Danio rerio: one gene and its partner. The protein of the gene in region 1 purifies or fractionates together with the protein of each later gene. This does not show direct contact. Links are inferred from orthologs where the notes say so. Each region holds a gene or a part of one and is shown in the gene's direction. Other genes may lie near its edges.

What was found. Proteins that work in one complex are often made in the same cells at the same time.
Region 2: the proteins of sf3a1 (region 1) and prpf19 fractionate together in Homo sapiens (co-fractionation; 3 studies listed by BioGRID and IntAct, with this or other methods). This does not show direct contact. The link is inferred for Danio rerio from reciprocal best matches to the Homo sapiens genes SF3A1 and PRPF19.

Annotation. Positions count from the first base shown.
Region 1 is NC_133183.1:43,421,629-43,427,652, forward strand, and holds the start of sf3a1 (splicing factor 3A subunit 1), read left to right. Parts: upstream 1-2,215; 5' UTR 2,216-2,233; exon of another isoform or gene 2,234-2,237; intron 2,238-2,357; 5' UTR 2,358-2,400; coding exon 2,401-2,448; intron 2,449-3,830; coding exon 3,831-3,940; intron 3,941-4,032; coding exon 4,033-4,225; intron 4,226-4,386; coding exon 4,387-4,644; intron 4,645-5,346; coding exon 5,347-5,421; intron 5,422-6,024. UniProt on the Homo sapiens protein: Component of the 17S U2 SnRNP complex of the spliceosome, a large ribonucleoprotein complex that removes introns from transcribed pre-mRNAs.
Region 2 is NC_133189.1:18,671,261-18,676,982, forward strand, and holds the end of prpf19 (pre-mRNA-processing factor 19), read left to right. Parts: intron 1-625; coding exon 626-695; intron 696-1,112; coding exon 1,113-1,286; intron 1,287-3,573; coding exon 3,574-3,656; intron 3,657-3,761; coding exon 3,762-3,867; intron 3,868-3,975; coding exon 3,976-4,073; 3' UTR 4,074-4,414; downstream 4,415-5,722. UniProt on the Homo sapiens protein: Ubiquitin-protein ligase which is a core component of several complexes mainly involved pre-mRNA splicing and DNA repair. Required for pre-mRNA splicing as component of the spliceosome.

The DNA of each region.
Region 1 (6,024 bases):
ATAACTGGATCAAGAATTTTTTGTTAAAAAGAACAATACAAGTTAGAGTGGGTTCTGCATTCTCCCAAATATATAAGGTAGAGAACGGAACACCACAAGGGAGTGTTAGCAGCCCTATCCTATTTAATATCATGATAAATGACATCTTTTCAAAAATGGAGTTGGGGATCGGGAGATCTTTATATGCAGATGATGGTGCGCTATGGAAGAGGGGAAGAAATGTAGTTCATGTAGAAAGGTGTTTACAGAATGCAGTGAGGACAGTACAAGATTGGGCGGATGAGTGGGGGTTTAGATTTTCTACTGATAAAACTCAGGTTATTTGTTTTTCAAAAAAGAAAGTTAATCCAAATATAAATATTAATATATACAGACAAAAAATAGAACAGGTATCAGTAATTAGATATTTAGGAATGTGGATGGATGTAAAACTGAATTTTAATATGCATATTCAAAAAATAATAGATAAATGTAAAAAAGGAATTAATGTAATGAGGTGTCTGGCAGGAGCTGAATGGGGTGCATGTCGTTTCTCGCTTAAAAGAATCTATAATGCACTGGTAAGATCTACTATAGATTATGGATGCGTAGTATATAGTTCCGCAGCTAAAACTCAGTTGTTGAAAATAGATGCGATTCAATCTCAGGCACTAAGAATATGCTGTGGAGCACTAAGAACTACACCCATTATAGCATTACAAGTAGAGATGGGGGAAATGCCTCTAAAAATTAGAAGAATTAAGTTAAAAATGAGATATTGGGTTAGCATTAAAAGCCAAGAAGAGAGGCACCCAGTAAAAACAGTACTAAAGGAATGTTGGGAATATGGACATAAAAAGATAGATAGTTTTGGTTGGACAGTAAAAGACGAGGCTCAAAATATGGGCATAAGAGACATCAATTTAGCCCCTGCTGTGCCAACCTCTGCGATTCCGCCTTGGCTTTTCCATAAACCAGTAGTCGATTTATTACTACATGAGGAAAAACACAAAAATAATATGTTAAATGAAAAAGAAATACAACAATACATAAATCAGTCATATTTCAATTATTTACAGATATATACAGATGGGTCAAAAGATCCTAAAGATGAAAAAACGGCAGTAGTAGTTTACATCCCAAAATTCAATATTAAAATATCAAAAAGAATAACGGACCGACTTTCTGTGTACACTACAGAAATTGTAGCTATACTTCTTGCTCTTCAGTGGATAGAAGACGTGAAACCATTAAGATCAGTAATATGCTCCGATTCTCTGTCAGTACTAAACAACTTAATTACTGGAACATCTAAGGCAAGACAGGACATAATGAATGAGATAATGCAAAATTTATTCAGAATCAGACAGGGTGGACTTTTTGTAAGCTTCTTGTGGATTCCTGGTCATATGGGAGTAGTAGGTAATGAAGAGGCAGACCAACTTGCAAAGGAAGCATTACAACATACTCAGATAGAAATAAAAATAAAAATAAGTAAGTCAGAGGTAAAAAACATAATTGCAAAAGAAACAGGTAGAATGTGGCAAAGGGAGTGGGATAATGGAGAAAAAGGCAGACATATGCATAATATTCAAGGATGTGTGGGTGGTACTAGAAATAAGTTTAGTAATAGAAGGAATGATGTGGTAATAACTAGGTTGCGTGCTGGTCATTGTTTGCTAAACCAGTATAAGTTCAGAATAGGGAAGCACGAGACAGGATGTTGTGATAAATGCGGGAAAATAGAAACATTAGAACATGTAATTACAGAATGTGTGGCATATGACAATCAGAGATATCAGTTAGTTCAAGGATTAAGTATTTATGGGATTAAAAATTTGTCATTTCAGACCCTATTAGGAAACAGTTCAAATCAAGTTGAAATAATAATGCAATTAATTAATTACTTAAAGGAAACAAAATTGATTAATAGAATTTAAGAATAGCTTAGCAAAATAAGGAAATAAAATTTACTATGATTTTTAACTAGTATTTTTTTTCTTTCTTTCTCTCCTCTCCTCCTACTGTTATTACTGTTCTCTCTTCCCTATGGTAATCTCATCCCTCCATTCGTATCATATATCTTTAGTACTCATGCTTTTTCCAACATTATGCGCTCCACACTCCTATCCAGTAGGTGGCGGAAATGCACCATTTAAGTTGGTCTGCCAACCGCCATTAACCCCATAAGAAGAAGAAGAATTTCATTGGTTGTCCGTTTTGTGTTGTGTGTGTGGCTGCTGGCTAACGAGAGGTAAGTGAGTTATGTAAAACTGCCTTCATAATTTGTATAACTTTAGCCATTCTTGCGACTTTCAGTGTTCATTATTTTATAACGGTTGAGTCTTTAGCTTCAAATAATCTTTCATTTTACACAGTAACGTTTGAATCGGTCCGAGAAGAGCCAGTAGTGTCGCAGTCATGCCGCCTGGGCCTGTGCAGATCATGCAGCCGGAGCTGAATAACAAGGTATGAAGCTTTCAGAATTTATTACTTTCATAGACACGATGGGTAGGTTTATCCGATTTATATTCATCTGCTTACATTTTTCGTCTTTCATAAGTATAATACTGGGCATTATTGCAATTTTATAATTTATTGTTTTGAGTAGAAGCATTACTTGTTTAAAGTTAAACTTTAATGTATATGTTATCTGTTTTGTTATCTTTTGTAGCAGTCATTGTTGTATATATTCCCAGCATAATGTTGTTTTATTATTAGTATAAATATAATATAATATAAAAATATATATTATGTAAATGTACTGTTTTATTTCCCAAAATCGATGTGGTCAAAGACAACCATTTTAAAAGATAACGTAGTAGTGTCTACTTTATTGTTTAGAAAAAAAGGTTAATAAAAATTAAGATCTAAAAATATATATACTTTTGTAAAAAATGACAACAACAACAAAAGTAAACTTACATGTACTTATTAAAATAAGTAAATGATCCTTCTGCATTTTATTGTTTTTTCTTTAAGTAAAAATTTGGATAATAGATAGTTAAATTTGAAATATTTCATTTGCTTATTTTGGGGGCTGCAATGTGATCTTTAAATGTTTTTCTAATGTCATCAAAATATTCTTCAGATGTTAATTGAATAATTATTCTTATTTTTCTTTATAATGAAAAAAATATAAATACACAAATTACTTGTTAGTTTATAAATATACATATATTGTTTTGATTCTTAAATTAAAAATGAATATGCAAATTCTATATACAAATAATATTTAAAAATTAGGGGTGTTTGAATTGAATGTAAATTTATTGATATTTATTGTAAAAACTAATTAGTTTGTAATATAAATTTCAGTTTATTATCAGATTCTGTTTTATTGATGTTGTGAAATGAGAAAGGACAGTTGTGCAATTATAATAAAAAGTAATAATTTTAAGGACCATTTACAGTGAGAAGTGTATTCTGTTGTACAATAGAAACACTTTTGGCTGCAGTAAATCCAATTCGCTTGATTTTTTTCTGTTTATCTGATATGGTATTCTCACATAACATGGTAAAGTTTCTGAGATTGACACCACAAGCATCACCCATGCTTCAATATTTGTGTAGTAAATGAAACTGTGGCATTCATTCAGAAACACGCCTCATAAATATAGACTTTGTATTTAACTTATATTTTAGTGGTCTTAAAATTCTCACACAATAGTACACATCACAACTTCATTTTAAGGACATGATTAGTTTTAATGTATTAATTCAAAGCTTGTAACATTTAATGACATTGTATAATTAATTCCATATTTATGACTGTATTCTGTGATTTTTGTTTGTGTTTTCTGTATTATTTTGCTCATATTAAATAAGCTATGAGATGTTTTAATCAACAGCCCGAAGAACCGAAAGAAGAAACTCCAGCCACAAAGCCCATAGTGGGAATCATCTACCCTCCTCCTGAAGTGCGAAACATCGTTGACAAGACTGCCAGCTTCGTAGCCAGGTTTGACATCCTACCACATATATCATGTAGTGCAGTATTTCATTTGTGTACTTTTATTAAATCAATAATTAATTCCATTTATTTTGTCAAAGGAATGGACCCGAGTTTGAGGCCAGAATTCGACAGAATGAGATCAACAACCCAAAGTTCAACTTCCTCAACCCGAGCGACCCATACCATGCCTACTACCGACACAAGGTCAATGAGTTCAAGGAGGGCAAAGCTCAGGAACCATCCGCAGCCGTTCCTAAAGTCATGCAGCATCCTCAGCAGCTTCCTCAGAAGGTCAGCAACTTCTCTGTGGCTTTATATAAATATTATCAATATTATAGATGTAGACAGATAGTTTTATAATAGTTAAAATCAAGCCATAATCCAGCAGACAGATATAAAAAATTTTAATAGCTTTCTATGTTATAAAGAGCTTATGTTTTGTGATTATTTAGGTCCAAGCACAGGTGATCCATGAGACGGTGGTGCCAAAAGAGCCTCCACCTGAGTTTGAGTTCATTGCTGACCCTCCCTCCATCTCAGCCTTTGACCTGGATGTGGTGAAACTGACCGCACAGTTTGTTGCCCGTAATGGCCGTCAGTTTCTCACACAGCTGATGCAGAAGGAACAGAGGAACTACCAGTTTGACTTTCTCCGGCCACAGCACAGTCTGTTCAACTACTTCACAAAACTAGTGGAGCAGTATACAAAGGTAAATTATACTTTTTAGAAATGCTGAGGGCTTATTGGTTTGCAAAGAGATTAGAGATGTTCAGTATTTTTTCCTCTAATAATATTTTTGATTAATGTTTAAAAAAATGCAAGCTCAATAAATTAGCAAAAAAATTATTAAAACAATTATTCCATTTGTGAAAGCATTTAGAAGATACATTAGGGCTGGGGAAAAAATTGGTGATTTCCATGCACATTTTGTCAATAAAGCAATAAAAGTAAAGTAAGCTACATTCAGCTGGAGCAGCATTTGCCACACATAATTCACTATAAAGCTACACAAAACTTGCAACACTTGATGAATCTGTAGTTGTGTCTTTATTAATTAGTCTGAATTAGCGAAAGCAGTTAAAGTTTCCTTTTTAACACAATACTCTTTGGATTTCTTTTAGTTTCTGTAAGAGCAGCCTCTGGCATTTAGAGGAGATTTATTGCTGATCATGCTGTGCTTTTCTGACAATATGTGCATGACAAATGTAGCTTTGCTAAATGATGTTTGGGATTTACTTTAGATTAATTGACCAGTCCTAAGATATATTGTAGTTCGGTAATATCACACAAACAAATACTTTTTCCCTGAAAATCAATTGCAAATGTGAAACCCCCAAATGCAAAATACAGGTTACAAATACAGGTTATTCAAGTGTGACATTAAATAACTTGTTTGATTGGCTTTTTGCAGGTTTTGATTCCTCCAAAAGGTCTTCTGCTGAAACTGAAGAAAGAAGCAGAGAATCCTCGAGAGGTCTTGGACCAGGTAATCAAATATAGAAATGAACACCAAAATTTAAAATTTCAGGTCACACGGGGTGTGAATGAAAAAAAAAAAAAAAAACATAAGATATTGGTAGACAAAATCATATTTAGAGTTTTTTTGTGCCCTAAACATACTCTTTGAGCTTTGAATGATTGCAGTTTAACCAGTGAAGTTTCATGGATTTTTTTAACAATGTCTTTGATTCTTTTTTTTTGAACTTTTAATGTCTCACGAGTATTGCTGCCTATACATGACAATATCTAAATCTTACATTTATGATGAGATAAAATCTTTAAATATCAACTCTTTATGTTCTAAAGAACAAAAAAGGTTTCTGAGGATTGGAACAACATGAGCATAAGCAATTAATAATAGATTTTTAAAAATCTGGGTGAACTAACCTTTAGATAAAACGTTTTAGAAGACACATTTTACCAAAGCCATTTACATTTGATCAGATCTTGCTTTTCCTGAGGAAAAAACTCATGATATTGAACAGCATGCTCTGCTGTTATAGCAACAGGAAAATCTTGTAGCAAAACTGAAGGTCAATCAGACAGCAGAACTTAAATACTAAATATGATTGATATGTTTTAGGAAGTC
Region 2 (5,722 bases), on another chromosome or scaffold:
AAATGAGAATCAGCAAACGATGGCCACTTTCTCTTAGAGTGTAAGAAGTTTGTGCAGTGTATGTAGTGTTTTTGATGCGGCCTCTGTGTGTACATTTCCATAGTTACACTTTTCAAGGTTACATTATTTAAACCTCTACATGCATTATTTACTAAAATCTTAAAAAAATTTAAAATAACAGAATTTTGTCTTTGCCATAATTCTTGTCTTGTTTGTTTTTGTTGGCCACAAGTGCTGACGCTTTTGAAGATTTGGGCCAATTTAAGACTATATTTGAGGGAAATATGATTTTAAAGACAATTAAGAAAATTTTTGTAGCTTTGCAATAAAATGTGAATCAAGCATAATTTACAACATTAGCAGTATGCTACACTTACTGGATAAAAGCATTGTCAAAGACTACTTTAGCAGAAACAACCATTTGTCAAATCATGATTTTTTAAAAATTGACATTTTATTTAAAAATAAATAAAATTTCCCCAGAACGAGTGGAAACTGTTGTTGTGGTTTTCCGTTTCACTTCCCATGTAAAAAGAACATGCTTTGTTATTTTTATGGAAGGGAAGTCTCTGTGTAGTTACATTTTTATTCTGTGTAGTTACATTTTTAAATGTTTGTTTTGTAGTACTGGGCCTTCTCCGATATCCAAACTGGACGTGTCCTGACCAAAGTCACTGATGAGACTGCTGGATGTGGTATGTTTTATTATTTTAGCTGCACTGTGTCAGATTTTGAATAAGTGTTTTTTGAATGCTATTTTTATAAGTGTGGAAACTGAAACAAGCTCTCTTTTAGAATTTGTCAAGTTAGGATAAAAATGAAATGTAATGATTTACTTCAAAATATTTCACTCAACATATTTAATACAGGCATTTTGTACATGATTATAAGCCATGTTACAAAAAAAAAAAAGATAGTATTTTTAGGGTAATGACTTCATAAAGTATAAGGAAAAACATTAAAAATTTGATAATAAAATCTTAAAATGTAAAAAAAAAAAAATTCAGTTTGGTACAAAACAGCCAAAAGGACAGCTATGGCCAAGTAGTACTGGTAGGTCTAGTGTTAATTTGTCTCTTCATTTAAAAAGCATTTCTGCCTCATTCTTTCAGCTTTAACCTGTGCACAGTTCCATCCTGATGGTCTGATTTTCGGCACTGGTACGGGCGATTCTCAGATTAAGATCTGGGATCTTAAGGAACGAACCAATGTAGCCAACTTCCCTGGACATTCAGGTCCAGTCACGGCCATTGCCTTCTCTGAGAATGGATACTATCTAGCCACTGGTGAGTCATGTGATCTGTCTGTGTCCATTGTTCAATCTGCATTTTACCTGTTTTCTGAAGTAGTTATTTAAATACTGTTTTACAGTACATTGTTGCAAATCAGCCTTACAGTTATTAATGCAAAAAATGACAGAATTAAGGGCCTCCATCAAATATGATCTGAATCATGCTATAAAGAAGCCATGGTGACTATTTCAGTGTTGATTAAGTTCTGTGTTGTTTAGCAAGTTTTAGTTTACTTCTCTGCAGCTCTAGAGAACTAGAGTTATTACGAAAAAAAACGGAAATTAAAATTATTAGAAAAATGAAACATTACATTTAATGCAGAGGTTTGCTTGAGACATTATAACATCTTACTGTAATTAAGTTCTTAAAGATTATATAAATTCTTACAGTTTATATATTTTTGTAATTTTACTGCATTGCTGCAAAGTAGGTGTTCTGTTTGCTTAACCCTGAACTCTGCGTTGATTAACCCTTAACTTGCTTACTCAAAGTATGTGCACCAAAACTTCTTTTGAGAGTAAGTTCTATTAACAGAACTAGATTAATCATTAGTCATGAATCATTGTTACCTTAAGTGTTTGATGTAGGCTTCTACTGTGTGTATATAATATAATGATAGTGTAGTCCAGTAATATGTGCGTGTCAGGAAGCTGCTGTCAACATCCAGGATAATGAAGTGGATTTGAATTCATGCACACACTTTTTACACTTTCTCTTTTGGAAGTTGTTTTTAATGATTGGTTGGTTTTGCTTCCATATTTGTTAGGGGGGGAATATATTTCTGTAATAAGATTGCATAACCGGTGTATTTTATTAAAAGATAGTAAGATAGTAAGAAGTAAATAATAGTAAAAATAAATTAAACATATTTTGAGTGTTTAACTTACAAAATAAATTAAGAAATAGTAATATTATATGCTAATAATAGTAGAAATTAAGAAATAGTAGAAATTAAGAAACACACACAACCATATATATTAGGCATGGGCTTGTATGAGATTCGGACGCTATGATAACCTTGGTTATGTTCTTTTTAAATGTCTGGGTAAAAACATCAGTTTTTTATACTACTAAACATGTATTTCATTTTAAGAGACATAATATTGTGAAACAGTAAATGTGTCTAATCAATAAAATAAATCATTGATTTCTGGTATATTAGTTTTAAAAACACAGATTTCTTTTAAAAGGCATCTTTGGATTGCATTTTGTCTTTGAATATTTGTAAGCCACTGCACTGTTCAGGTCTATAGTTGGGTGTATCAGTGTTTCTCAATCACATTCTTGGAGGCCCATCAGCTTAGCACATTTTCCATGTCACCTTGACCAAACGCACCTGATTCCAGTCATTAGCTCATTAGCAGAGACTGAAAAACCTGTAATGGGTGTGACAGACATAGGAGAGATCCAAAGCATGCAGTGTTTGTGGTCCTCCAGGATTGTGGTTGAGAAACACTGGTCTATAGGATGTTGATGTATAAGTGAGTTTAAGAGGTAGGTAGTTCAAAAGTTAGGTAGGGGGTGTGGTAGGTTGGTAGGAAGTTTAGTAGGTTGGTAGGAAGTTTAGTAGGTTGGTAGGAAGTTTAGTAGGTTGGTAGCAAGTTTGGTAGGTTGGTAGCAAGTTTGGTAGGTTGGTAGCAAGTTCGGTAGGTCGGAGAAAGTTCGGTAGGTCGGTAGTAAGTTCGGTAGGTCGGTAGTAAGTTCGGTAGGTAGGTCGGAAGTTCGGTAGGTAGGTAGGAAGTTCGTGTGAGAGAGTAAGTCTGAAATAGAGAGAGAGTGGGTGTGAGAGGTTGTTAGGTAGGTAGGTAGGAAGATGGGTAGGTTGGTAGGTAGGACAATTTGGTAGGTAGGCAGTTGGGTATGTAGGTAGGTACAAAGCTAAATGGGTAGGTAGAAAGGTAGTTAAAAGTTAGGCAAGTAAGTAGTTAGGTAGGTTGGTAGGAAGCTAAAGGTAGAGGCTAGGTTGGTAGGAAGTTGGGTTGGTTGGTTGGTAGGTAGGTAGGTAGGTAGATAAGAAGCTAACTAACCCTAAAACGTAACCTGCTGCATATTTAGAGCAATTGTTTCTTACTATAAAAGATATCTTGGTTTTTGGACCTGAAAGCTGCAGTTATTCACTTACATGGCACTTATACGTACATGTCCAATTACCTGCTTTCCGCAGTAGCCCCCAGTTTTTATCATGACAGATGTTAACTCTGAGCAAGCTCTGCCCATTTGGCTCTGCATTGAGTATCACTTGTGTTCACTGTCATGCAAACTACATTTTTTTTGTATGCAGGTGCTCAGGACAGTTCACTGAAGCTGTGGGATCTGAGGAAGCTGAAGAACTTCAAGACAATCACTCTGGACAACAATTACGAGGTCGAATCCCAGAAATATCACTGTCAAATGGTTTTAATCAGTTTGCCAGTTGTTCTGCTTACAGGACGTTTGTCTAATATTTTTGCTGTTTTTTTGATCATGTAGGTCAAGTCCCTGGTGTTTGATCAGAGTGGAACATATCTAGCTGTGGGAGGGTCAGACATCAGAGTTTATATCTGCAAACAGTGGTCCGAGGTCCTCAACTTCTCCGGTGAGTTGAACAACGCTTTGAAGTTTGTCCAAAATTGGGTTTGTTGTTTAATTAAGAGCTTATTCTGTGTCCTCAAACTAATTTAATTTCTTTTTCTTCTTCCTGTAGATCATTCTGGTCTGGTGACTGGTGTGGCTTTTGGTGAACATGCTCAGTTCCTGGCTTCCACAGGCATGGACAGAAGTCTCAAGTTCTACAGCCTGTAACAGAAACAATACTCCCACAACAAATACATCTCTCTGTACGTGTGCATGTGTATACATAGATATGCATTCACTATCATAAACATGGTTGTAGTGATTAATTCAGAAACATTCAGTACACCTTGACTTTGTCACCAGTAAATTCATCTTTTTGTCAATTATTGCTTTAAAACAAATTTTGGCAATAAGGGTTAATGTCAGTTGTTTTTTCGTCTACCTTTTAATCTTTTGATTGTAGGCTGGCAAACTTTGTTAGTGTCCCATGACTTCTCTCTTTTTTTATCCTTCTGTGGACTATCATCAAATGTGAAATAGATTCCAATAAAGTTTAAATTTGTTTTTAATCTATTGTGTATGAATCTGTTGACTCATCGTTTTCATCCATGACAGGCACCAGGGGCCTGTTTCAGTAAGGAGGTTCAACCAACTCTAAGTTTAAACTTGAACTCTGATTTGATTTACAGAGAGATTAAAAACTCAGAGTTTTCAGTTTCAGAATAGCTGATCTGAGTTAGGTCAATCAACATTGAGTAGACCAACTCAAGAGTTAAGTGCGCACACCGCAACTATAAAAAGGCATTATCAATGGAGCGCAGATATTACAATTCACCATGGCAACATCTGAAAAAAAGAGATCACCATTTCTTTCTCCAGCTGAACTTGATGTGCTCATGCAAAGTTACAGCAAATATGACCATATATTTTAAAAAGTAACAATGTAACAGACGGTTAGCGTGGGAAAACATAGCTGCTGTTAATGCTTAGTTTTACATCTAAAGTATTTAAATATTTTAGTATAATAAAAAAGGAATGTAACGTGTGACATTTATAAAAAAAAAAAACATGTTCCCACTTTTATACACGTTGATCAGTTTTAATAGATTTAAAGTGCAGTTGTCTGCCTCTATTATTGTGATAAAGGGTTAATATGGCATTTAGAATGTAAGCAGAACTAAAAAATAGTTTTAGAATGAGTAATAATTCCATTAATTACAGTTCATTTTGAAATATTAACAGTAAAAACAGATTTTACCGCAGTAAAAGTTGTCAATCTTTTTTTATTTAATAAATGTAGCTACTTGTGCCTCAGACGACATTGATGATACACAATGAACGCGTGGGGGCGTTTCAAGCCATGAGACACGGAGAACAGATGCTCTTGACGCTCTGGAGGTAATTAATATACATTAATACTGAAACGGTTAATGCAATTTAGAATGACCAAAACAACGTTTCCGATGTTCTACAGTGTGCTCAGCCTGCTGGTTTGTCCATTCACACACATTTTCATCATCATATATTCTCTTATAACAAACCTTTTTAATGTACATACTTTAATTTGTTAAGTTAAAGTGTTTCCAGCGCAGTTTATGTGCATCTTATTAAATATAAAGTTTATCGTACTCCGTTATGCTCATATTTCATAATGTTTATTTTTAAAAGTTATGTGCATCATGACGTTTCCATCAATCGTTTTTTATACGCATCTCTAAAATGTGCATTAGAATAGATGGGTGGAAATGTAAGGCTAAGGTGAGAAATATAGCTTCGTCTTTAAAAAAAAAATGGAGGACACCGACAGAAACTCGAGTTTAGAGAATAAAACCTGCTCCTGACCAGGTTAAGGTCACAGAGTAAGTTTCACAGAGAGT